Mus musculus: one gene and its partners. The protein of the gene in region 2 interacts with the protein of the main gene of each other region in a pairwise test. Links are inferred from orthologs where the notes say so. Each region holds a gene or a part of one and is shown on either strand. Other genes may lie near its edges.

Region 1 (3,228 bases), on a different chromosome or scaffold from region 2:
TCATGAAGCTTCAAGCGGGGCACACCTATGGTCCTGTTACTCGGGAGGCTGAGGCAGGAGGATTATGAGTTAAAGCCAGCCTGGGCCACAGAGTAAGTAGTCCATTTCCAGAATATTCTGTACATATAGGCAGACACCCAAGAGCATCACTTGGTTAATGTCCCTGGGTTCAACACTTCTGGATCTGGGAACACAGAAACAAATAAGGTTGGAGAGATGTGGCTTAGTGGAGCCCAGTAGTCATAAGGCTTTGTGTGCAACTCTAGGTTCAACACACACACACACACACACACACACACACACACACACACACACACAGCCTTTGAGTGAGGTGCTGTGACTTGCCTAGAGATGCAGAGCTTACATAAATGGCCAAGTTTGATTCTGAGGGCAGGCTGCCTGCATGGGAGCCCCTGTGTGAGAACAAGCTCTGTTGTAAACCTCAGGGCTCTATACATGTGGCAATGATGGTGACACTGACATCACCCCTTTGTGGCTGAGCCTTGTGTTCGTCCCTTTGACCACATATTCCTCTGGCCTATCCCCCTACTCAGCCTCCCTCCTAGATGAGGCATGAGACCCACGGGAAGAAGATGACCCCTCCCCTCCCTCTTCCAGAACCAGGCTGAGGCTCATTACAAGGGCCACAGACACGCCAGAAAACTCAAGGCTGTGGAAGCTGCCAAGAGCAAGCAGAGGCCTCGAAACCCGACCACAAACGGGACAGTGGTGTCTTCAGCCTCACCTCCAGCCAGTGGAAGCCCTGGAACCCCTCAGAGCAAAGGTCAGTCTTGATTTCAAGTTCACACAACGAGGCTGGCTTCTGACAGCGGCTTGAGTGACTCTGGCTCTTCAACCATCTTTCTTTCCTTTTTCTTTTGTTTGGTTTTTCAAGACAGGGTTTTTCTGTGTAGTCTCAGCTTTCCTGGAACTCACTCTGTAGACCAGGCTGGCCTTGAACTTATAGAGATCCATCCACCTGCCTCTGCCTCATGACAGTGCTGGGATTAAAGGCATGCACCACTACTACCTGGCTTTTTATTTTTAACTTGGGATTTTTTGGTGTGTGTGTGTGTGTGTGTGTGTGTGTGTGTGTGTGTGTGTGTGTGTGAATGTGTGTATGTGAATGTGTGTGTGTGTGCATGTGTGTGTGAATGTGAATGTGTGTGTGTGAATGTGTGAGAATGTGTGTGTGCATGTGTGTGTGTGAATGTATGTGTGTGTGTGAATGTATGTGTGTGTGTGTGAATGTGTTGGTGCTCATGGAACACAGAGGCCAGGAGGGGTCATGAGGTCCCTGGAGCTGGAGTAGCAGTGGTTATGGGTTCTGGGGACTGCACTCCCATCTGCTGCAAGAACAGTACATGCTCTTAACAGCTGAGCCATCTCTTTAGCTTTTCACCATATTTCCTGCTAAAAAAAATGACCCCTAATATACAGACATTGGCAGACACCTATACTGTTCCTTCCTCAGGCTGACTCTGGATCAGGCAACGTGCTGCCAGCACACCTAGCCTGAGCTAGGATTCAACTACTCCCTGTGTTGGTTCCCTAAGGCTGGCAGAACACAAGGCTACAAAGTAGGTGGCTGAAACAATAGAAGTGTATTTTCTCCACAATCTAGAGGTCAGAGGTCTGCATTCAGATGTGGGTAGGTTTGGGTTTTTTTTTTTTTTTAACCTGGGGGCCAGAGGGAGAAGCTCCTGTCTCAGCTAATGGGTACCACTGTCCCCTACACTCCTTAGAGACGGAGGAAGGAGAATTCAGAGTTCCAGGTCAGTCTGGAATACACATCAAATTTAAGGCTAGCTAAGGTTCTGTAAGACCCTGACTCAGAAAAGAAAGGACAGGGGGTTGGGAGTCTACCTCAGTGGGTACAGTACTTGCAGACCACTTGGGAAGTCCCGGAGTTTGATTCCTAATACCACCACGGAACTGGGAATAGTGGCACGGACCCATGATCACAGCATTTGCGAGGTGGAGGCAGGCAGGCTAGAAATCTAGTTCAAGGGTATCCTCAGCTATATAGTGAGTTCATGGCCAGCCTGAGATACACTAGACTCTGACAAAAAACAACATTCCCCCTAAAACCTCCACTAACACCCATCATTTCTGAGTTTACATGTGGTCATTTTCCTTTCCTGTGCTGTGTTCTCTGCCTCAAAGATAGATTACCATTCACCTGTATGATGGATCTCACCAATTTCCAGTTTAATGCTATTATAATACTAAAACATTCTAGCACATCTTTCTGGTGACTTCTACTTACTCAATACTGAGGAGCTAGAACATTAGACTGAAAGTGTGACCAATTCTGTCCGATTTTATGATTTTTTTTTTTTTTGGTTTGGTTTTTTGAGACAGGATTTCTCTGTATAGCCCTGGCTATCCTGGAACTCACTTTGTAGGCCAGGCTGGCCTCGAACTCAGAAATCTGCCTGCCTCTGCCTCCCCAATGCTGGGATTAAAGGCGTGCACCACCACACCAGGCCGATTTTATGATTTTTTATACAGGGAAACTGAGGCTCAAGTTTGCCTAGTGAGTTGGTGGCAGGGTGAACCCAGAATTGAGTGCTAGCTGTCCTTTACCAGGAAGCCTTCCAGCCTCCCATTCTATCACCATGTCAGTGTTGCGCCTCAGAGGTCCAAATCTCCCCATATGTCCCATGTCCTTGCAGGTCCTGCATCCCCTCCTCTTGGCCCTTCACTTCAGCTCCCGCCGACCCCGGACCCATCAGCCGGAGACCCCGTCCACTCAGCCGGAGACCCCGTCCACTCCGAACTTTGTGATGCTGCTGCTTCGTCTTCCTCCTCTTCCTGCCCACCCTGCTCCCCGGATCCCAGCAGGGAAGCACCAGGGCCTGAGCCAGCAGAAGGGGCCGTGGGAAGTGGAGTGAATGGGGAGGGCAGGGGCGAGAAGGGACGCCTCTACTGCCCTACCTGTAAAGTGACAGTGAACTCCGCCTCTCAGCTTCAGGCTCACAACACAGGTCAGTGCTTCCCGGGTGCCATGTCATTCATGGCCAGGTGACAGAGGAACCTACCCACTGTTACTACAAAGACATTTCTGGGTCCTTCTCTTCGTCCCAAGGGAGGGGCATTGGGAGGAGAAGTCTGCAGCAACCAGAACTGAAGGTCACTAAGGGCCTGGAGTACCCTCCTCCATACTCCTTGGATCAAAAGGAAGGGACTTTTTCCCAGCTGTCTATTTTAAAAGGCCATCTTCCC
Region 2 (4,212 bases):
ATGTCTGAACTTTGCCTTCCAGCAGCATATCCCATTATGAGCATAAGAACTGTACTGTCTACTAAGTTGATCCAATATAATTTTGTGTGATTCAGCCAAGTATTTTTTAAGTTCCTTTTGGATAAGAAGTAAAAGAGGAGCTGAACTGAGGAGTGTAGCTATCTTCCCTAACACAGTCACTGTTCCCTCAAGTTTGTTCATTATGTCAGACCAAGTATTTCCTGTGACAAGTGGCCTTTTTAGAAGATGCTCCCTTCAAAAGTAACTATTCTAGTAGGAAAGAAAAAGACTTCAGAAGAAAAGAGCACTAATCAAATAATAATCAAATCCTTAGTTACAACTGGAGGGATAGAATGCCCAAAAATCAATTCTAGAATATGTACTTAAATCTGAATACACATCTGTGTATTATTCCTTTTCCACAGAAACTCAAACCTGAGAAAATGAGTTTAAATTGTATGCAGAAAAGTATTCCAACTGCTAGGATGCTTCTACAATTAACAAAAATTGTTTCCCATCTTATTTTTGGTAAATAACTAAGCTTTTGGATATTTATTCTTGATAACTAACCTTTGGACATATTAACATTAATATTGTTGCTGCTTACTCTGAGGACAAGTTATGTAACTTTTTACAGTTGCTGATACTGATCTGATGGCTTAAAGCCCTTAAAAGCCAGCCCATTGAGATGAAGAATCGGGGTTGCAGAGCGCTAGGGTTAAAGCTACAGCTTTAGACTTTGACCCAAGTATTTAGCCACCTATTTACAGTAGAAATGACCATAAAGCACTGCACCGGAAACAAGATATGTGTATGATGGATAGTTGCTTATAATAATGACAGTCCTTATTACATGAATTTATCTAACAGAAATTACATACTACTTAAGAGAGAAGGTAGGCTCTCAGGCACTTTTTAAAAAGTCCTTGCAAAGGAGTCTTTGAACGGAGTTCCCAAAGCTATGGGGCCAAGTCTAATGAAGCTGGTTCCCTTCCCTTAGGCTCTCTCCTACTTTTATTTTATTTGCTTGTTTGTTCTTTTATGGGAGAGTGGGGGTGGGAGGGAGAGAGGGAGGGAGGGAGGGAGGGAGGGAGGGAGGGAGGGAGGGAGGGAGACAAGGTCTCACTGTGTAGCCCTTAAACTAACTATCCTTGAACTCGGTATATAGACCAAGCTGACCCTGAACTCAGAAATCCTCCTACTCTGCCTCCCAAGTGCTGAGATGAAATATGCATTATTAGCCAGGAGCGCAGGGCAGCTAGCCTACCAGGGGCCTGAACTGCGCTGCCCCGCCCTCCCTGGCAGGGATGAGTGACAGCGACAGCGACAGGTGCTGAGAGCAGAGGCGTCCGCTGCTTCTGTGTGTGGCGCCCGGAAGGGGGAGCAGAGTTTGCACGTGGGAACTTGTCTTCCTGTCTTCGAGCCAGCTTTCGGAAGTCCCCAGAGGCCACTCTCTGTAGTAGACCCTAGAGGTCGGCCCTCCAGGGCAGGGAAGGCTCGCCGCTCTTGCCTTCCGCGGCGCGTTCCCCTCCGCTCGCAGTGCTCGCGTCCGTCCGTCCAGCCGTCCGTCCTGCCGCCGCTGGCAGTCGCGGTGCGCGCCGTCCGTGCCGCCGCCCCGGCGGCCCCGGGACTTGCGCACAGCGCCACCGCCACCGCCGCCGCGCAGCCCGCCTCCCCCGCCCCCACAGGGCAGCTCGCCCGGCTCGGAGACTGCGCCACTGCAGCCGCCGCCGTCGCCGCCAGGGGGAGCGAGTCCCCGACGGGAGACGCGCCGGCTCGCTTCCTGCGAACGCGCCTTCCAACTTGAGCTTCCCGCGAACTCCGGAGATTAGAAAGATGGAGACCGAGTCCCGGGCGGTGAGTGCTGAGGGCCGGCCGGACTCTGCGCGGCCCGGCTTCGGACGGGCTGGAAAGAGTGGACTTTGGAGTCGAAAGCCTTGCTGTGGGGTTGGGAAGGAACGCGCCGCGGGAGGGCAGCGGGCAGCCCCGCTGAGGAGAGCGGCCCCTCGGGCTGTGTGAGAAGGGGCGCTGGGGGTGGGGGAGGCGGCGCTGGCCCTCGGTGGGGCGGACGGGCAGCTCGGGGGAAACGGCCATCGGCCAAACATGCCTAGCGAGCGGCCGCCCTCAAGTGTTCCCGCCCGGACGGCGGCGCCCTCGACGGCTCGCCCTTTTCAGGACACGTTCTCGCGGGCACGAGTTGCGCGGCCGTCGTCGACGCCCCGACCCGGGGCAAGGCCTGAGCCCGGGAAGGCCTGAGCTACGCGCGCTGCCCTGTCAGGCCTGGGCCCGGCTGGGGCCTAGGGGCCCCCACCGCCCCCGCCCTCCCAGTGCAGCCTGGTAACGTGCCGCGCCCCGCCCCGTGCCCGGCCGCCAGCCAATCAGCATGCGCCCACGCAAGGCCGCGGCCCCGCCTTGCACGAGGCGGCCAGCGCGTGGTAGGTGCCGTTGAGGGTTCCCGCCACCGCTGCTGGCGGGTTTGCCTGACAAAATTTCTCGCTGGCTGGCCTTCTTTTCCCTCCCGCACTTTGGTGGGGAGGGGGGAGACCCTCGTGTCGGTGTCCCGGTCCACGATGACCCGAGAGAACCCGAGGACGTTGTCAATCCGGCCATTTGCCCCATCGCCTCAGCCTGCTGGCCTCCGAGGGGAAGGAGCACCGAGGCGGTGACTGCGACGGTTAGCCCACCTCTTCCTTTGTCTTTGCAAAGATGATCCATCTCGAGGTCGAGGTTAAGCCTCAGAGGAGACGGCACTAGGGCCATGTTACCTTGGAAGAGCATCTTAAGAAACTCGTTGGTGGTCGAGCTTTACGGGGAAGCAGAGGGTCCAGACTAAGGATCCTGGAGCAGGCAGCCTCCTAGCTCCATGCTTTCAAATGGTTGACAGTGGGAGGTTCCCTCTCCTCAAATTCAGTGCTAACCTCGAAGGAACTTGATGTTACCTCTGTCAGAGCCTTGTTGCCTCTAACCATAAAATGGGTTCTAGAATGTTACTGATACTTCGGTCCTTACCCAAATGTTGACCAAGTACCAAGCAGGTCTCTCCTGAAACCTGGTTTATACAGTCAACAGATAGATAGGCACTGAACACTTGCTATGCGATGTTTCTGTTTTGCATGTCGCAGTGAGTTAAAAAAAAAATAGGCAAGCATCCTGTCTTCATGAATATTACAGCATAGTAATATATTACAGGTATATATGTGGTATCTTAGAAAATAAGAAAGAAAGCCATAACATCCACACTGGAGCCTTAAAAACAGGGACTGAAGTGATTTGGTTGTTTTAAAATCATTTTCTCAGTGTTTGAGGTCTCTTCACTTGGGACTGATTTCATCCACCTCTCACAGGAAAATGGAGTCTTCTTACTTAAACTTGAAAACAAACTAGTACTTCCATTGAACTCCTTTGTTTTTACAGAATTTTGTGAAGACATCATTATTTAACAAATTCTATACTAGAAATAAATTGGCACTGATATTGATATGTTCAGCCTTCTAAATTAGAAGTATAAACATAATGGATATATACCAATTTGTTTTGGGTTTTTTTGTTGTTTTGTTTTTTACAAGACAGGGTTTCTCTATGTAGCCTTGGCTGTCTGGGAACTCATTCTATAGCCCACAGACACATTTGTAATTGAGTTGTCTGTGAAGTCATTGGTCAAAGGAAGAAAGTACACCATGGGGCCTCTCAGGTGTTAAGAACACAATTTATACAAAATGGGCTTGAGACTTTTAGAATTCCAGGTAGAAGGGCTTTACCTGAAATGCGTATTGTAAGGAAACGGGAATGTTTCTGTGGTTGTGTGTATTATTGCTTTAAAAGTAAGATTGGTAAAGGAGAACAGTTGCTCAGAATATCCAGGATTAAGCAATGTTTGGTAGTTCTTGTGGTTTAGACAGTGCTTTTGTTTTTATAGGTATTTAGACACGATTAAAGAATTTTTTTTATCTTGCTCCATTATAATTACAGTGACCTTGTCTAATGCTGATGTTCTGTTAACAAGAGAACACCACTGCCTAACTGAGTGCCAGGCCAACTTAACACCTGGACAGAATGGTTGAGACAAAGCTTCTCCAGATATCTGAGTCTTTTTTTCTCCCTCTTTGACTTCTTTATGAATTTAGTATTCTTCCTTAACAAATAGCCTATCGCATAATTAATGTAAGTACATTTGAGTAGTACATTTAATAGTAAGCAATTCTGTAGAGTGAA
Region 3 (3,638 bases), on a different chromosome or scaffold from region 2:
TTGTCCCTGTTGCTGCTGCACTTTGGCACTGCTGAGAGTAGAGTGAGTAGTTGGAAAGTGAGAGAAGCAGTGTAGCCCACAGCACCTAAAATATTTACTATCTGGCCCTTTAAATGATCTTTTATTGGTCCAGACAGTTGCTGATTGCTAACCTAGACTACAAAATTTTGTCATTACTAAAGTTTGGTATATTTTTACACAAAGAATAATTTTTGGGGTTTTTGCTGTAGAGTGATTTTATTTTATAGTTGTTAGATCTGATTGCAAAAAACAGATGAATTGATTTTAAAGGAAATGCCATTTGAGTGTGTTATTCTATTAAGCAAAAAAAAAAAAGTATATGGTACAAATTGTATAACATATAGACATTGCTTGGAGGTGGGCCTTAGGCTTTGGTATTTTAAAGGCATCACAGGTTACGTAGCCACAGTGAGGACCACTGATGTTGTTCTACTCTTTTATAAGTGGCTTTTCAAGCCATGCAGATATTCAGCGAGGAGGCTGAACAGAATGGTTCTCTTGTCTTTATACCGTTTTATAGTCTCCAATCTAGACTTGAGTGGTCAGTATCTTAGGCTTAGTTGTAGCTATTTATGGATTTTAAAAAATATCTATTACCTATTTTGTTGCAATTTGTAATATTTTCCACCTAACGTTACTCATTTTAGGAGTGTTAGGAGGGTGTAGAAATGGAGACAAATAGACCTAATAGAGCAGTATTGCTGCTACTGAAATGGTCTTGTTAGCACGTAAAGTTTAGATTTCAGGTGTAGGATGGAAAGATAGTTTTATTGCTTTCCTCTCAATTGGAATAGTCATTTTCAATATAAAAGTATTCCCCCAAAACTTAAAGTAAAAAGTTAACATTTGAAAGTTTTTGTCAGGGCTGACAAGTTGGCTCAGAAATTGCTAGCACTTGCTGTCTTCCAGAGTAACTGGGCTCAGATTTTAGCATCCATAATGATGGCAGTTCACAGCCATCAGACATGTCCATGCCCTCCCTCTTCTGCCTTTCATGGGTAGCTACACAACACACACACACACAATATTTAAGTTTAGTATGGAAGACGGGAGAAATTAATGACATCCAAGATCTTATAAATTTATTTTAATTCAGTATTCAGGAACTACCATGAGTGAATTACAACTTAATACCTAAGCTTTTTCTGGGAAGTTTAAGACAGGGTTTTCACAGAGTAAAATTTAGTGCTTTTCAAATTGCCTCTGTATTTCTGATCCTGCTAGTTCTATTTCCTTGACTTCAAGAGCTATGGAAATAGATAACTAACTACTCTGCATGGAGACTTGCTGGTTGGTAGTGACATTGACCAATCTCTCATACTTTTGGTTTGCCAGTTTTCCCTCTGACCTTTTCCAGTTTTGTTCATAAAGGTTTCTTTCATAAGTAAATTTTGAACCCAGGTTCAAGGTGAGTTCAGAATATATACTCAAATTCATTCAATCCTTTTTTTTTTTCTTCTAAATGCAGGGTTGTACACATTTTAATAATTGTCTTATGTATCTGGTATTTAATGCTGACAGGATTCCAGTCAATGGAGAGGTTTCATTGCAAGTAGCTGCAGGTGTGTTTCATAGTAGAGATAAAAGTTTTCAGTGAAGCAGATTTTATTTTTTATTATATTCTAGTAAATAATGAATATAGATGTTGATTAAGTGGGACAATATGATTTGTTTTTTGTTTTATTATGCCATGCTAAGTCAAAATTTGAGTTTTAAAGGCAAAAGTATCAGGTACCAAATATAAAGGATTTAAGAACTATAAACATAGTAGTCATTATTCCTAGATATTATAGTGAATTAATTTATATAAAACAATGTATATGAAGAGTGTTTGTAGCACTGTTTCACTTATAAAGCACTTGTCTGTAATGGGATTTCATGTGGTACTGTTAAATAGGATTTCCCTTTAAACCTAATTAATGACTACTTTGCTTTTATGATTTTCGTCTTCCTAGAAAGTGTAATTATTTCACCTATTTGAGCATTCATTCTAGGAATTTTGTGCAAATGGGAACTTGCTCAAGGGTTATTATTAGTTTCAAAGCAGTTGTAATGAAAATACATGCTTATAGTGACTTGAATTTTAGGCTATAGAATTTAAAAAGTGTCTGGAAAAATTTTGTAACTCTTTGGTTTTGAGATGTTTTATGCTGGACTCACTACATAATTATGAATATATTTGTTAATTTTTTAATCATTTTTGGTCCATAGCAATAAGACTAAGTCTCTGGAAAACTTTCACCAAAAAACCCAAAACATTTGTTATGTATTTTGCTTTTTTCAGCTAGTTACAGCCAGCAGACTGGACCCCAACAACCTCAGCAGTTCCAGGGATATGGCCAACAACCAACTTCCCAGGCACCGGCTCCTGCCTTTTCTGGCCAGCCACAACAACTGCCTGCTCAACCACCACAGCAGTACCAGGCGAGCACTTACCCTCCACAAACGTATACTACCCAACCATCTCAGCCTGCCAACTATACTGTTCCCCCTGGCTCTCAGCCTGGAATGGCTCCAAGCCAACCTGGTGCTTACCAACCAAGACCAGGTTTTACGCCATCTCCTGCAAGTACCATGACCCCTCCTTCTAGTGGGGCTAACCCTTATGCTCGTAACCGTCCTCCTTTTGGTCAGGGGTATGCCCAACCTGGACCTGGTTATCGATAAGGAGGTTCAGCCACACTAATAATAATGGCTGATTGCCTCCCAAAAGACTATACAATACTATTTTGTTTCAATTTGTATTGTATTGAAGTTTAAAAATTTAAAAAGCAGAGCATTTTTTTATGATATCATTGTTGCTGTTAATTGAAAATATAATTTACCAGAATACAGACACAAAAAGACCAAAATGAATATTGTTTCCTCCCCTGCTTAAAATTGTAGCCGCTTCCTAGTTATTTTGGAACACTACTCTTACATGCGTGTAAAATGATTGGCTTTCTAGTTTCCCAGAGAATATTAAAAAGCTAGGCTAAGGTATAGCCATCACACTTGGCTATTTACTGTTAACATGATGTACTAAAAATAGAGCCCTCTGAGAAGATGACTAGACATTATGTATAAAATGTAACATTGATAGGCTAATAAAGGTGATTGAATCCAACTGTGGTCTTGTTGCCTAATTATTTAAGACATAAAGAAAATAGTCATTTTACAGAATTAATGAAATTGATTTCCATTCATATAATAAATTTGATTGACTTAGACTATAAATACAGTATGGGTTCAGTAGCTCTTCATTTTATGATTTTTCCTTACGGCGATAAAGGTATATTTACATATTGGCAAACTATTCAGAATGTTTTTAAAAACCTACTTTTTATTGCAGTGTTTATACTTGTTTGAAAATACAAAATACTGTAGCATTGATAAAACTGAAGCATGTTGAAAGATACATACAGAGAAAAGTCTTTTCAGGGCAAGCAATAATTTTCTTGGCTCCCTCCCACACATGAAGGAAAGCAATGCTTTTTTTTTCCCCCATGAAATGAGTCTGTTTTGTTACAGCTTAAGTAAACAGTTTCACAAAAACATTCTGTAATACATTCATTCATGGCCTAAGCATATAAATATATCATATATCCTATAAAACAATAGCTTCTCACCATGCATTA
Region 4 (3,516 bases), on a different chromosome or scaffold from region 2:
CGAGGTTTAGTTCAAGCTCCCCACTGTCCAGCCACAAGGCTTAGGAAAGAACAGTCAGTACATGCATGCTGGGCAGTGAGTAGAAATGCTAAACTAACTCAAAGCGCTTTCTTTCCGAGAAGGTAAAAATTTCACACGTCCTTCTACCTTGCATCTCCGACTTCACATACCGTGAGAGATCCATTCTGGTTGCTGGGTGAATTGCTACTCTGTTCTCCATGAGGCTGCGTACTCCCGTAGAGGGTCAGGTTATGTTCACTGGTCTGGCCGGCATAGTCCTGAGTGTGTGGCACTCCATATTCTGTGGGAATTCCATTTTGTGGAGGTGGTGGGAACGGGATGGTAGTAAAAGGCTGAACCATTGCGTCAGGAGTTGTTGTTGGCTCCTGGTTACCCTAGAGCAAGCAACAGAAAAGAAAGAGGAGTGAGTGAATAAATCTTTATCACACAGGACTCTTAGCATGTTCTCTCACTATCCCCCGCTCAGGAAGAAACTGCTAGGATCATCAGATAACTTCATTCTTTAAAAAATATCAACTGATAAAACTTAATTTTATGTGTGCTTTGCCTGTGAGCATTATGGTATGGTGTGGAGTTAGGACAACTTGATTCTACATCCTCCTTCAACATGAGTCCCTGGGATCAAACTCAGATTTGGTGATAAGTACCTTTCTTTACCTGATGAGCCATCTTGATAGCCAAGAGCTTAATATTTGATCATCTCTTCCAAATCATTTGGTGCTCTGCCTGTACCCATAGTTGGTGGCAGAATATACTGCTTCCAAGGTCAAGACTGATTAGCATTTAAACAGGTGTGCAACAGACAAAAATTCAAACTAAGGTAGACTAATAGATGAGCAGAGCCTAAGGATTGCCTTTCAGAAATCTTCAGAAAGGGTCTATTAAGAAACATATGAAGCTTTAAAGACACAGTTTCCAAGTTTAGATTAGGACCAAGGAACTTGCCTCTGTCTCTGACGCTGCTCTTCTTGAACTCTAACCGCCATTCTCCACCCCATCCCTGATGGGAGTGAGACTGTGGTCCACAAGCAAACAGCATCAATCATCCCACAGGGCCATTTCTGCCAGAGCTGGCCCAGTCAACTGAACAAACACATCAACTAGTGGTGGGGATTGGGAGCAGGAAATGCTTCTAGGGTATACCCATAGTCTAGGCACAGCGAGATGTAACCACGGTAGGACTGTCGCCCATAAGAGGGTGCAATCCTCCATCAGGGAACAGGGCTCCTGTTGACTTAGGGAAATGTGACTGATAGCAACACTTACACAGCTGTCTATATGCTAAGACAACAGACCTGGCCGGACAGTGGTGGTGCACACCTTTAATCCCAGCACTTGGGAGGCAGGGACAGTCTGATTTCTGAGTTCAAGGCCAGCCTGGTCTACAAAGTGAGTTCCAGGGCTACACAGAGAAACCCTACCTCAAAAAATCAAAAATCAAAAACCAAAACCAAAACCAAAACCAAACCAAAAAGACAACAGACCTGGAGTAATGCTTTATGTTTTATAGCAATCACTCTACCACATATATTATGGCTATTGTTTTTATTAGAAATATGAAGTCATTTAACATTCTTAATAAAAATAATATAAGAATGTTTTCTAATCAATTTTCAGTTCACATTTCAAAGTTTTAAGTTGAAAGGGAAATACAACAGCTCCCAGCCAACTTATGACAGTTGATAGGATTGCTTCTACATCATGAAATGCTTTTAAAATATTTGTATTATTTTTAAAATGTATGTGTATGTATATATCTGTATATGTCCTTACAGAAGCCAGAAGAGGGCGCCAGACATTCAGGAGCTGAAGTTACAGGTGGTTGTGAGCTGCTTGATATGGGTGCTGGGAACTCCCTTCAGATTCTCTGGGAGACCAATGCCCTACACTTCTTTCTATTGCTGGGACCAAAACCAACTCAGGGGAGAAAAGAGTTCATTTCACTTTGCAGTTCATAGTCTGTCATGGAGGCAAGACAGAGCACCGGACTTAATCAAGTGGTAAAGAATATTCTTGACATCAACCTTGGACTTCCACATGAATGTGCACGCATATCCACGTGCACCCACTACATAAGAGCACACAGACGCAGGCAGGCAAGCAGGCGTTCACACACGAGCGTGTGCACGCACCCACCCACCCACACAGACACACACAGACACACCCAGGCACACAGCTCTAAAAGCAATTTTGTTTGTAGGGCTTAAGAAATGGCTCATCAGTTAAACGCAGGTAAGGACCTAGAGGCAGGAACTGATAGAGGAGCATTACTTACTGGCTCGCTCCTCATTGCTTGTTTGGCCTGCTTTCTTGTACAACCCAGGGCCACCTACCCAGGGTGTCACCACGCACAGTGATTAATCAAAAAAAAAAAAAAAAAAAAAAAAAAAAGGCCTATAGTCATGTTTCCAGGTCAGTTTGAGAGAGGCAATTCCTCAACTGATACCTCTTCCCATAGAACTCTAGTTTGTGTCAATCTGACAAGGAACAACCAGCAAGTATTCGTTACACACCTCCGGCCCCTATGCTTTATATTCTAGGCTAGGCAGCTAAGCACATAACACCTGGAAAGGTGAATTATTACCATCTTTCTAGGATGAAGTCCATGCAATGTAGAAAGAGAAGGTATTTTTATTGTTGTCTTCCCATTCCTTTCTCAACTTCATTCTAATTTTTCCATTTGGTAATCTTGACTCCAATTTACAGGCATAACCTAAACAGCAGCCTGCAAATTCTAAAGGCAGCCCATTCAGACAGTCTCTCAATCACAAAAAGAAGTACTTGAAAGAATATTCCCCAGTTTAACTAGGATGCCAAAAATATTTCTGCTTTTAAGCATTTTACAAGCGTCATTTTTATTCCCTGGGAGCTTAGGTAGGCTCAGATTTCAAACTTGGCCTGCCTTTCTAAAACCAACCAGTCACTGGGAAGATGGTTCAGTTGTTGAAGTACTTGGAGCTGGGCAGGCAGAGGCAGGAGGATCCCTGGAATTGCTGGCCAGCCAGTCTTGCCAAAAGGTGAGCTACAGGTTTGTACTGGCTAGTTTTGTGTGTCAATTTGACACAGGCTGGAGTTATCACAAAGAAAGGAGCTTCACTTGGGGAAATGCCTCCATGAGATCCAGCTGTAAGGCATTTTCTCAATTAGTGATCAAGGGGGGAGGTCCCCTTGTGGGTAGTGCCATCTCTGGGCTGGTAGTCTTGGTTCTATAAGAGATCAGGCTGAGCAAGCCAGGGGAGGCAAACCAGTAAAGAACATCCCTCCATGGCCTCTGCAACAGCTCCTGCTTCCTGACCTGTTTGAGTTCCAGTCCTGACTTCCTTTGGTGATGAACAGCAATGTGGAAGTGTAAGCTGAGGAAACCCTTTCCTCCTCAAGTGCTTCTTGGCCATGATGTTTGTGCAGGACTAGAAACCCTGACTAAGACAAGGTTCCATTAGAGATCCTGTCTCGAAACTAAGGTGGAAAGCAACTGAAGAAGACATTGAACGTCAA
Region 5 (4,054 bases), on a different chromosome or scaffold from region 2:
GCTTCGCTTCTTGAACTCAGGACACAGCCATTTGTAACTTGGAGACTCAGTTTCCTCCCATCCTGTGCGCCGAATGAAAAGGAGTACGAGCTCGCGAGAGCGAACAAGATCAGGTTTGAAGCCAGCCCTCGGCCTTAGGTGTTCTCAGGGGATGGCAGTTAGGATTAAAGCCAGCGGACAAAGGGGCAGGGTCCCCCACTTCTAGACAACCTCTGAGGTTGTATGCAGTGGTGAAATGGAAATGAGATGGAAACTTCCTTCTAAGAGGAAGCTCCCTGGGGTTTTGCCAGTTGCACCCCGCCCCCACTCCACCTGCGGGTCTTAGGAGACGAACGCCCGGCCCGTGCCGCCCTCCCACGACTTCCCACGCACCCAGCCGTTGCGCTTGAACCCACTGAAAGAATCCCAGCTCTCGACGGCAGGAGTGTGGGAGCGACTGACACGCAAATCCGCTGACCCCGCCCGGGCCTGCCCTGCCCAATCGGAGCCCTTTTAAGGGTTGGGACCCTCTGCGGTGCGGGTCGCAGCTCTGCGCGGGGACACGACAAGTGTTTGCTGAGGACCTGGGCCAGGCCGACTGACTACTAGCACAGCACCGCATTGGAGATCTCTTTTTGGGGAGGCAGAGCAGCAGTAGCAGAGAGAGGGACAGAAGGGGGCAGTCGGGAGAGCTAAAGCCAGGACCTGCAGTGGTCGAGGGCCGTTAGCCCTCCGTGTACACCGAACCTTAGGGAAGGCAGGAGGAGACAGTCCCATGGCCCGCCCCCTCCCAGTCTAGTGTAGTGTCTGACCCTTATCCTGCCCTTCTGGTGGCTTGGCAGGCTAGAATGGGCTGATTCCCAGGCCCTGAAAGGAGTCCCAGGCCCTGAAAGGTGTCACAGGGGTGTCACAACTGGGGAGTGCTGGGTTTTGTGGGGAGAGCCAGTCCTCCCCTCCAGTCGTTCCCAGATGTCATTCTGCCCGCCCAGGCGCTTGGTTCCTGAGTTCCGGGGCATTCCACGGTTACTAAGTTACTGGTTTTTGTTGACTTTTAAATATTTTCTTCTACGGGAGAGGGGGAGGGGGGCAAAAGCCAGGAAAGAGCAAATAGAAACAAGTCAACTTAAGCCCCCCTCCCCAAAAGAAAGTTGCCCTCTACCCCTCATCCCTACCCCATCCAAAGGCCTCTGAAACCCATCCCTTGGCTGGAGCAACAGCCAGCCAGAACTGACTACTTCCCCGGCCCTGTCTTCAGCTCCCTTTCTGGTGAATGAGGGCTGGTGGACCACAGTCCCTTTGTCTCCCAGCCCTGGGTGGACAAAGGGGCTTCCGGAAAGAAAGAAAGAGGATGGCCAGCGGAAATGGGCTCCCTCCATCCTCAGCCCTCGTGGCCAAGCGTCCCTCCGCCCTGGGGCCATTCCCCAGATATGTCTGGATCCACCAGGACACACCCCAGGATAGCTTAGACAAGATTTGCCATGACATCTGGAAGCGAGTTCAGGGCTTGCCAGAATCCCTGCAGCCCAGGACCTCGCTGGAGAAGCACTCTGCTCCCGTGACCGCAGCTGTCAGCTTCCAAGAAGAGTGAGTAGTCCCCTGTTTGGTTGATAATCAAGAAAGGGAGAAAGGGGAAATGAAGTCTGACTTTGGGTTGAAATGCTCTGGCCCAGTGTTAAGCCCTGCACACATATCTCCTCCCCATCCCCATTTCTGTAATCTCGAGTCACTTTCGGTCGGAGGAGCTGGCCAAGGTCCTGAAGTTCCAGACGGGAGGAAAGAAACCATTCCTGGCAGCTTCTTTTTCAGCGCCTAAGGAGACATTTTTCATTCTAAAGACATACGTGGCTAAGATAAAGATCTGGGGTCTTTGCAGGAGCATTATTGCCAACCTAAGGGTTAGGTGACTCACTACTGCCCCCAGAGGCAGCTAGATGATCTTTAGCCCTTTCCCAAGAAAAGTCCAGGCATTGGCACAGATGATCCTGGTGGTTGGAAACCACATCTGGAATCCCCTAATACAGAGAGCAGCTGTCCCATTCAGCATCCACAGAGCTACTGCAAGAGCGCACATCAAAATATTTACTGGGAAGGCATTGACATATTCAGAGGACATAATAGAAAATTAAAGTGCGGAAGATGGCTGTAAATAGCCGGTTTCCCAAATGGGAAATCCCCTGCCTGTCGGGGAAACACAGAGCTAAGTGTTTCAGTACTAGGGAAAAGTTGAGGAGACAGCCATTGGAAAGGAGAGGAAGGAGCATAGAGGAAGACAGGATCTCATTAGGAAAAGGAGTGCATCAGCTGTGGTGATTAATGCCGCTGCTGAGTACTCTTCCAAGGCTCTGCATCTTCAAAGTGGGCTGCACGCATTAATTAATCCTCCCAGCATCCCTATGAAACAGGTATTAGTGTCCCCATTTTACAGATGGATTAAGTGTTAATAATTAAGTGCTAATTAAAGCCTAAGTGATAATTAAGTGTTGTCTGCCCTCAACACATGCTCCGACTCAGTTCATAGATGCTCTGCAGTGTGTGTGTGGGGGGGGGGGGGGCACATCATCCAGGCATTTATCAGCTGCCTCTGGTTTCAGGGCTCTCTAAGCATCACTGAGGTGGAAAGCAAAGTCGAGCTGATGCTCAGGTCTGCTCTTGCTGCAGCAGTCCCTTTGCAAGCGCCTTTGCTTGCTGCAGATGAAGGCGGAAGGCATGCTGCCTGCTCCTGCCTCCTCTGCCCTGTGCTCAGCAGGACCCGGCTCCGATGCAAATGGCCTCTCTACAGCCAGAATCCTGTGGCTAGTCTGCTCAGTGGCACTGGGCTCCTTTGCCCCGTTCACTGCCATCTGCTTTGGGACAGTGCCTTGGCACAGGGAACCTTGGGGCTACACTCAGCTCTCTCAGTGGCCAAGTAGCTGATTGTCCACTTTCTGGATCAAAGGTCAGCAGCAATTTCCAGTAGATAGCCCCTTCCCTGCCAGGTCACACCGAATTCATGGAGACAGACTCTACTTCCAGTCTGCACTTGGCCGGAAATTGACCTGGAATACCTCTGGCCGGTCGCTTCTCTCCATTTGGCTTTGAATTCCTCATCTGCAAATTAAGGATGATGCGCCCTGCCTTGTCCACCTCTGAGTTGATAACGAGGGCTGAATGTGATGGGAAACAAAGAAATGAAAGATGCATTATACAAACAAGGCTGCCTTAATGTGGAGTTCATCTAATTTGGGGGAGGGGAGGCTACTTAGTTGGCTTCATCTAGGGTTTTGGTGTTGTGCTCCACGATCCCAGGAGCCTTCAGAGAGCCTCCCTGGAGTCAAGTGGGCTCTTGGCTGGACAGTTCTCTTCTACACCTACACACACACACACACACACACACACACACACACACACACACACACATACACGCTCACACTTGCACTCGTTTCAGCCTGAGTTCTTTAGGTGTTTGTCAGCTTTATTAACTGGAGTTCTGAGTACAGTTGCACTTGGAAGAGTTCTGAGAGGAGATGTGGGAATCTGCTGACTTAGATGAATAGACCACATTCTAATTGTATCGCTATCCACCCAGTAGAACACAGTGAGTGGGCCAGAGAGCGAGCTAGCAGCTGCTTCTTGGAACGAAAGATAACCAGGTCCAGCCCAGTGCTGGCTTTAGAACCTGAGACTGTGATAACCAGGTCCAGCCCTGTGCTGGCTGTGAGATCGATCTGAGCTTTGGTTTCCTTGTCTGCTGAGTGGGGGTGAGGGTAGGGGTGGCTGGAGGTGGCAAATCAGGAGGACTGTTCTAGGGTCCTGCTGGTAAATAGGATTGATAAACTCATTCTAATGACAGCAGTTATAATTTCTGTAAACCCTGCAGTTTTTGCCTGAGGTAGTGAGAGTCCAAGTGTGTGTAGATATAAATTTCCATAATTACCAAACTGTACTGTTCTGGTTTTAACTGTTCCTCTCCCCCTCTTTAAATGAGACCCAACCTCGGTTATTTGTTTGTTTTCTTGAGATAGGCTCTCACTATGCAGCCCAGACTGTCCTGGAACTCATTATACATGCCAGGATGAGCTCAAACTTCCAGCCTCCC

Evidence for each region.
Region 1: the proteins of Boll (region 2) and Zfp385c interact in a two-hybrid assay, tested with the Homo sapiens proteins (2 studies listed by BioGRID). The two-hybrid records come from large-scale screens. The link is inferred for Mus musculus from reciprocal best matches to the Homo sapiens genes BOLL and ZNF385C.
Region 3: the proteins of Boll (region 2) and Tfg interact in binary tests that used the Homo sapiens proteins (3 or more experiments, as listed by UniProt). The two-hybrid records come from large-scale screens. The link is inferred for Mus musculus from reciprocal best matches to the Homo sapiens genes BOLL and TFG.
Region 4: the proteins of Boll (region 2) and Rbfox2 interact in binary tests that used the Homo sapiens proteins (3 or more experiments, as listed by UniProt). The two-hybrid records come from large-scale screens. The link is inferred for Mus musculus from reciprocal best matches to the Homo sapiens genes BOLL and RBFOX2.
Region 5: the proteins of Boll (region 2) and CK137956 interact in binary tests that used the Homo sapiens proteins (3 or more experiments, as listed by UniProt). The two-hybrid records come from large-scale screens. The link is inferred for Mus musculus from reciprocal best matches to the Homo sapiens genes BOLL and C1orf94.

Annotation. Positions count from the first base shown.
Region 1 is NC_000077.6:100,630,250-100,633,477, reverse strand, and holds part of Zfp385c (zinc finger protein 385C), read left to right. Parts: intron 1-618; coding exon 619-784; intron 785-2,678; coding exon 2,679-2,990; intron 2,991-3,228.
Region 2 is NC_000067.6:55,360,944-55,365,155, reverse strand, and holds the start of Boll (protein boule-like), read left to right. Parts: upstream 1-1,402; 5' UTR 1,403-1,836; coding exon 1,837-1,857; intron 1,858-2,427; exon of another isoform or gene 2,428-2,674; intron 2,675-4,212. UniProt on the Homo sapiens protein: Probable RNA-binding protein, which may be required during spermatogenesis. May act by binding to the 3'-UTR of mRNAs and regulating their translation.
Region 3 is NC_000082.6:56,689,821-56,693,458, reverse strand, and holds the end of Tfg (protein TFG), read left to right. Parts: intron 1-1,542; coding exon of another isoform or gene 1,543-1,577; exon of another isoform or gene 1,578-1,583; intron 1,584-2,305; coding exon 2,306-2,688; 3' UTR 2,689-3,130; downstream 3,131-3,638. UniProt on the Homo sapiens protein: Plays a role in the normal dynamic function of the endoplasmic reticulum (ER) and its associated microtubules. Required for secretory cargo traffic from the endoplasmic reticulum to the Golgi apparatus.
Region 4 is NC_000081.6:77,132,547-77,136,062, forward strand, and holds part of Rbfox2 (RNA binding protein fox-1 homolog 2), read right to left. Parts: intron 396-3,516; coding exon 171-395; intron 1-170. UniProt on the Homo sapiens protein: RNA-binding protein that regulates alternative splicing events by binding to 5'-UGCAUGU-3' elements. Prevents binding of U2AF2 to the 3'-splice site.
Region 5 is NC_000070.6:127,968,030-127,972,083, reverse strand, and holds the start of CK137956 (uncharacterized protein C1orf94 homolog), read left to right. Parts: upstream 1-1,242; 5' UTR 1,243-1,249; coding exon 1,250-1,563; intron 1,564-4,054.